2 linked regions of the Caenorhabditis elegans genome follow. The protein of the gene in region 2 interacts with the protein of the main gene of each other region in a pairwise test. Each region holds a gene or a part of one and is shown on either strand. Other genes may lie near its edges.

The links. Proteins that work in one complex are often made in the same cells at the same time.
Region 1: the proteins of unc-43 (region 2) and egl-2 interact in a two-hybrid assay, tested with the Caenorhabditis elegans proteins (one study listed by BioGRID).

Annotation. Positions count from the first base shown.
Region 1 is NC_003283.11:1,297,550-1,301,303, forward strand, and holds the start of egl-2 (Potassium voltage-gated channel protein eag), read right to left. Parts: upstream 1,660-3,754; coding exon 1,581-1,659; intron 1,519-1,580; coding exon 1,401-1,518; intron 1,142-1,400; coding exon 1,029-1,141; intron 984-1,028; coding exon 855-983; intron 96-854; coding exon 1-95.
Region 2 is NC_003282.8:10,348,582-10,352,335, forward strand, and holds the start of unc-43 (Calcium/calmodulin-dependent protein kinase type II), read right to left. Parts: upstream 1,637-3,754; coding exon 1,612-1,636; intron 391-1,611; exon of another isoform or gene 385-390; coding exon 304-384; intron 1-303. Other genes in the region: Y43C5B.2 (Tyrosine-protein kinase), read right to left, coding at 2,864-3,400, 3,449-3,626, 3,679-3,701. UniProt on the Caenorhabditis elegans protein: Acts in the signaling of a variety of pathways and processes. Phosphorylates 'Ser-319' of daf-16 in response to stress signals, such as heat, starvation and oxidation, which plays a role in prolonging lifespan.

The sequences.
Region 1 (3,754 bases), on a different chromosome or scaffold from region 2:
GTTTCCCGGCGACTTGTGTAGATCCTTCGTTTCGATTTGGTTGAACTGCTGCTTTGACTTTGCGATCCGTGCTATTTGAAGAATTCGTGACAAGCCTAAAATTTTTCACGCATTTCAGGCTTCGCTCATAAATTGAAATGGAAGAGTTTGCCGAACTAGGCCATTTTGGCTCGGTTATATCTGGGGTAGATTTACGGCGCGTTGCGTTTCGCGTCGCGGCTCGATTTTAGTTGTAAAACTGATGTATTTGTCCGTATGGAGTACACGACACTTTTCCACGCGTTGTCCGGCTCCGAATCATGGCCGAAAATGAAAATTTCAAATCGGCAATCCGTCAAATTGCCGGAATTAAAAATTTCCGGCAAATTGGCAAACCGGCAATTTGCTGATTTGACGAATTTGTCGACAAATCAATTTTCCGAACGGCAATTGCAGCCCACCCCTGTACCAAATATAAATGTTAAAAAGTTTCAAAATTTTTTTGTAAATTTTCAAACCTTTTTTAAAAATTTAAAAAAAATTTGAAACTTTTTTTTTTTAATTTTGACCTATTGACTTTTGTCCCAGAGTTTCAGCAAATTTTTTCCGATTACCAAATTTTCTGCTCAGAAAAATGTCTGAAAAAGTGACAATTTATTTTTCAAATTTTCCAACAAAGAAAAAAATAGAGTTCAAAAATAATTCAGCTCATCTTCAAATTTTAAAAAATCATAAAAAATTTAGAAAATTGTTATAAATTTTTTTACAGTTATATTCGGTGTTTTAGGGTTTTCAAAGGTTAACTTGATAACTTCGGATGCAATTATCTTTTATTTGAGTGGTCACACTTTCATCATATTAAAACCAAACTCTACCTTTATTGTTTTCATCATCCAATGGTTGTTTCAGCGGTGTAATATCTTTAAACTGGCACAAGTACAGCACTACTGCGTCTTTGTGATTTTTGATTGGAGCCAGGTGGACCAGAAGCCAAATAGGTGTTTCTGTAAGAAAAATGCTGCAAATGTTCATTTTCCAAAAACGCTTACTATTCTTTTTACATAATCCAATTTCGGCCTGTTCGGTTCTCGCGTTTTCCAAAGCTTCCTGCATCTTCTGAAGGCTGCCCACCTCGCCGTGTTCGCCATGCATGAAAGCAAGTCTGAAAGTGTTTTCTACATATAGGTGGATCGATCAGTGGAGATTTAATCTGATTACATTTTTATTGTGGTTTAAAATTATCGATAAACATAATAAAACACACCAAATTTTTTTAGCATATTCAAAAATTTCAGAATTTCAAAAATTGCCAAATTTCTCAACAAAAAAAACAAATGGGTTAAAGAATAAAAACAACAAAAAATAAATCGCAGTGATTTGAAATAACTCACCCATTTTTAAACCCAGGTAAATTAACTTACGAGCATGGTTTCTGCATAATCTCAGCTCGAGTATACCCGACGAGCTTCGAGAACCCGTCATTGCAATAGACGATTGGATAGTCAACAACTTGGGCGTTTGCAAGAATGAATGAAGTATCTGAAATTTCAGTATTCTCCATTTTTGTGGGACCAGGGATGTACCGATTTTAGTTAACTCACCTGCATTATTACACCGCCGAATAACATTCTCCAGAAACGTATTTTGTGGCGCCACAAGTCCACGTTTCCCAACCGGCATATTGTTAGATTTTTCCGGCAAAAAAACGGGCAGCTACAATATGGAAGAGGGAAGATCCTACACAGTAGTTCTATCGCTCTTGAGTTAATTTTGTCTATGACATTTCAATAGAATAAAGTGTTATCTGGAAAAATAGTTTATTGATTATTTAATGTAGAAAATGATTTAAAACTTAATAAGCAGACGATCAAGTTGAACACAACTTTGTCAAGTTAAAAAAAACCGGAAGAAAAATATAAAAATTCAAGGCTCATTCGAAGGAGGAGTGCCAGTTTGAACAGTTTTAAACGTACATACATATAGACTAGGGGTGTGCGGCAAGTTCGCCGAATTTGCCGTTTGCCAAGCTCGGCAAATTCACCGAATTTGCCAATTTTTATAAAAAGAGATTTGCAGCACACATCAAAAATTTGACAATACAGTCTTGACCAAAACTATTGTTTGATTTTGTCCCCAAAATTTTAATAAAATGACACAAAATTGAGTTAGTTTTGGTGCTCCAAAAAACATCAAAAAACATCAATTTTTTGGAGCTTATTAAAGCTGGGGTTTCGAAATTTGGGAAATATTTTTAATTGACTCCGAATTTTCCCCTGATTCCGAATATCAACGTGAAAAAAAAAATTCCCTGAATTTAAGCTTGAAATCACGAATTTCATTTGTGCCCCGATAAAAAAGTAAACAAATTAAATTCGGCGAAAATAAGTACGGATTTCTGGCTTCCCTCATGATTTGAAATGGAAGAGTTTGCCGAACTAAGCCATATTAGCTCGGCCATAACTGGGGTAGATTTACTGCGGGTTGCGTGTCGCGTCGCGGCTCGATTTTAGTTGTAAAACTAAATGTAATTGTCCGTGTGGAGTACCCGACTTTACCACGCATTGTCCGGCGGGCGATTGTCTATGGAGCGCGAAAAATTCAATGAGGAAGGCCAGAACCCCGTGAATAAGTAAAACTAACGAGGAAAATGAAACGATGCAAGTGCGCTCCAATGCGAATTTATTGGCGGGCGCATTTGAGAGAATTAATAGACTGGACACAAATGAAATTCGTGATTTCAAGCTTGAATATAAACTCAGGGAGTTTTTATTTATTTTTTTCACATCGATATTCGGAACCAGGGGAAAATTTGGAGTCATTTAAAAAAATTTCCCAGATTTCGGTACCAGAGAAAAATTTAAAAAATATATATGCAAAAAAGGATGTTACTTCAAAAAAAAATCAACTGCGACACGGAAAAAAAATATTCGGAAAAAAAAAAACGCTTTAAAGCAATTACTCAAATTTCGGAATTCCCTTCATCAAAGAAGGAGGTTTTTGGATTAGAAACTTAATTTCAACAACAAATGCAAAACTTAGAAATGTTATACCCTTCAGCAGAGGAGATGTACTTATCAAGTGGGAGCTCTGAATATCATCGCGTGTTGAGAATTGAGATAAGGATTAGAGAAAAAAAAGTAAGAAAAAATTTCGAACCAGGTCGCTGTTTCGAAATTCTCGACTCGTCTGACTAATCGGATGCGTCTCTTCATCATAATATTCAGTCCCGAAAAAGACAGGGTCGAGAGTCGGTTGGCATGCACGCAACTCCCCTCGAAGCTTTCCGGGTGAAGGAGGATGGAGCATGTTTCGGAACATGATCTAATATTCCAAAGGATGCTGCTAGGCGACGAGCTGGTTTGAGCTTTGAAATTTGAGACCGAGCAATGAGGTCGGATGAGGAAGAGGAATGGAGCTTATTGAGGAAGTATTATTTGGATATTGGTTGGAAATTGATAGCAGAAGATCATTCAAAAAAATTTTAAAAATATGATTTTCTACGCGATCTATAACACAATATTGCGACAAACCTTCATATTTTAACAACTTTCAAAAATTCATATAAAATTTCGAATTTTTTTGGTTTTTTTCTTAAATCATAATATTCTGTCATTGTGACCTCATAGGCATGTTTTAAAGGTGGAGTAGCGCCAGTTGGGAAATTGTTAAAACTACTCCTATAGCGCCAAAATGACTGAACATCGTAATAAAACTTTCTAAAAAATTTTTAAATTTTTTTTATTTCCTGTCAAAAAGTGACAATTACTAAGTTTTT
Region 2 (3,754 bases):
CAGAATTTGCCGAGTTTGCCAAACTCGGAAAATTTCAAAATTTGCCGCACACCGCCTCTACAGTTGTTAAACTCTAGCGTGAATAAAGTATGGAATTCATAGAGTTTTTTGATCGACTTCCAAAATTATTATAGATAAAAACTGAGTCCACTTTTTGACTGTAAATTCAAAATTTTTAAAACAAATTAAAAATGTATTTAAAAAATAAAAATTTACGCATATTTATTATCTTAAGTTGCTAAATTTGTAACAAAATTTTTCTAAAATGCTTTGAAAACATTTGAAAGATTGAAAAATGAATACCTTTTGAAAGATTGGCAATGCCTGTAACTGCCGGATGTTCCCTGAACGTGTCTGATTGATTGTTCTGATCTATATTGACCTCTGAAAGAAAATATGGATTAATATTATTAAATTCTTTGAAGAAGAAATGAAAATGAAAAAAAAATGTTATGTGTCGCCTGGCTTCGACTGACGACGACGACGATCGAATTCTCAAATTTCAACGGACGAATTGTTGGCACACATAGACACTTACAAAATGTCAGGTCGACTTTTGTTAATTTTTGAGTATTCTTTGAACTTTTGGAATTCAGAAGTCAGAATATATTGTAAAGGAAAAGGATGAATCAGAAAGTAAGATTTAGATTGACTTTTGAGTGTTGTGCTTGTCTCTGGCTAATGGGTTAATTGCAAGAGAGGTCAATTTCCAATCTTCAGAGTTCATTCGTTTTGGAACTGACCTATTCGATTTTAATGTAGCTTATTTTTCACCAAAAAAACCTGTTTTCTTGGCAACAAACATGGAAAACTTATAGGCTACAGCAACTCTGAACTACTAAGGAATCACAGCACTTTTGATGAAATATGCAAGAAAATCATTTTTTCTAATCAATTTTCCTATTAATTTCACAAAACAATCGAGTGGCAAGGAGGGAACTTAAAAAATCAAGTTTTGAAGTTTTGAAATTTCCCACACATGTAGATCTCAACTCGAATAATATAGTTAGACTAATATCTAATTGAGTTCTAAACTCTAGTTTGAGACTAGACAATGTTTTAATACAAAATTTCATAGTAAACCTTTTCAAAAACTGGCAGTCGTTAAAAAAACCTTTTTCTTTTGAAATTTTGACACTCTACCAAAACTTTGAGTAAAAATGATTAGAGTGTTTAGTAATTATAATATTTGGCCATGTTTACAAAATTCTAAATTCTTACAGGCATTACTCTAAAAATTAGAAATGAAAAATATAGATAAGAAGGTACGAGGTAGGTGAAGGCATGTAGGTAAAAATTTTCGGGACTATGTTAACGGCTTATTGAATAATAGTCTCGTAGTCGAAAATAAACTTTTCTTATTCAAAAAAATCAATAAGGAATTCCAGTTTTCAGTGTGAATGTACCCCGCATTTCTTATCTTACAAATTAAAAAAAAGTTTCATGATATAAATTTTGTGTTCTAATCTGCAGAACAAAGAATGCAAACAAATTATGTTCGATGTTATCTAACTTTTTTTTGTTATTTCTACCAATCAATCTCAGTCAACATGAATCATATATATTTTCAATTGTTAGAAGATAGGAATATTAAAATAGAAACAATCTAACCTGAATTTGTGGAAGAATTGCTCATTCAATCAATAATTTATAGTTTGAAAGTTGATAGATAGGTACAATGACAGTAACTACTAATCAATTAGAATCAATTTAATTTCACTCTTCAATTTCTCAACTTTCGTACGAGTAGGTCTCGGTGTGTTTTCTCTATGTTTCTCTAGTTTTTCTGTGTTTTTTGTGTCCTATGCTACAAAATTGACTACGATAACAAAACTTTGATTTTGAAAAGAGAGAAAAAAGAAGGCGAAACGTACGTAAAATGCCTTTTTTCAAAAGAAAAATAAATGGAAGACGAGAAACTGGTTTCTAGACAGTGCGGGGCGATGATGTGTTGAATTTTGACTAATTATCGGATTATTCTGAGTTTAAATTTTCATTTCTCCGTATAAAACTTTGGTTTTGGATTCTTGCATATTTTTTCATTTATCAAAAAAAATTCCCAAAAAGCAGTGAACTTTTTAAAGGATTCAGACATGGTGAATCTGATCTATTCAAAAAACTGTGTTTTAATTGAAGACACAAACCATTAAATAAAAAAATTTTGTAATTCATTTCTTGGTATTGTTTTCGAAAAACGCTTAAAAAACGCTTCGAAAGAGCTTGTGAGTCTGAAAATGTTCTTCTGAAATATCGTTGCCACAGACTCATAGGCGTCTTCTTTAGAAATAATCTATGTATACTTTCAAATTTTTTTAAAGTTTTGTACACTTAGTCCAACATAATTGAATATCATTATTAAACGCTCCTAACGCCATTTAAATCTTTACAACTTTCAGTCAAAATTTGGTAAATTGCCAAAACTTCAACAACAAAGTCTTGTTATTTTGAGAATTTTTGCTGGTTCGAACCTGAAAAATTTTCAAAAAAAAAAGTTGATTAGAACGTAAATAATAAATTTTGTAAAAAATTAGTAAGTGAAAACTCTACTTGCGGTATTAAGCCTTTTCCAGTTTGTGATGCTTCATCTTCAAATCTAACTCTGAATTGCATATATCTGCAGTCAAAATCTTCCAAAATGCGTTTTTTTAATTCAAAATAGTACAAAATTAATTAATTATATTTTTCAACAGCTCTGAGATTCGAGAGGAAAACTATTTTAGATTATGTCCTAAATACAAGTTGCACAAAGCTTCGACTGAATCTTAAAAATTATTTTTGATGTTCGAAAACACAACGAGGTTGTTGGAAAAATATTTAAATAAAACTGAAATTTCAAATTATCAACTGTTCATAAAACTTTCCTTTATTCAAGAAAAACGCGTAGCTCATTGAGCACTGAGAGCCAATTCACAGACATACACACAAAAAAAGGCGTTGCGCAACGCAATTTTCTGTGACATTTAGCAAGAAACTCGTTCAGTGACCGACATAGTGCAACGTTAACTCTTCTACGGGGCACACCATAAAAGCGAACGACATGGGGATGTGAAAGTGAACGCATCACACGAGCTTCACCCATGAACTCTTTGATCTGCTCCTTTGTGAGATTCGAGAGCTTCGCCTGCTTGATCGCCACTTGAACTGACTTTCCTCCTTTCCGAAACTTCATCGTTCCCATCATCACTTCTCCAAATGCACCTTCTCCCAGCTTCTTCAGAGGCTCGATATTGTCGTGGTCCAGCTCCCAAGCTTGACGTGAGATTGCCTTGATGAGAAACACATCTTTTTGAACCGATTCCTTCTTAGTCAAGTGCCACTCCACCATTTCTGGGATTGACAAGAATGATACTTTTTCGATGAAGATCTTATCGCCTTTGGTTTTGATCACATAGTGTTTGATCTGAAATTAAAAAATACTTGAAAATAAAGTCTAAAACTATTTAATTACCTCTTCTTCCATTGGAGGAACGCAGTGCATCACACTCAGGATGTTACTTCTTGGTGATCCAGCTTGAGGCTCCGAGATGCGAATCACGAAATCTCCATTATTTTTCAAAACGGTTTTGACGTCTTCGCGGGGCAGGAACCCATGATAGTACGGCTCCTTTTCGATAGACGGTCGCTGCCTGAAATGATACTTCATTGAAGAGGGAAACCACGAGAATCACAAAAACTTACATGCTTGCTGTTCCACTTGCCATTTTTCAATGAACCGAGAGTTGTTTGAATTTAAATCTTACAACTTTTGAATACT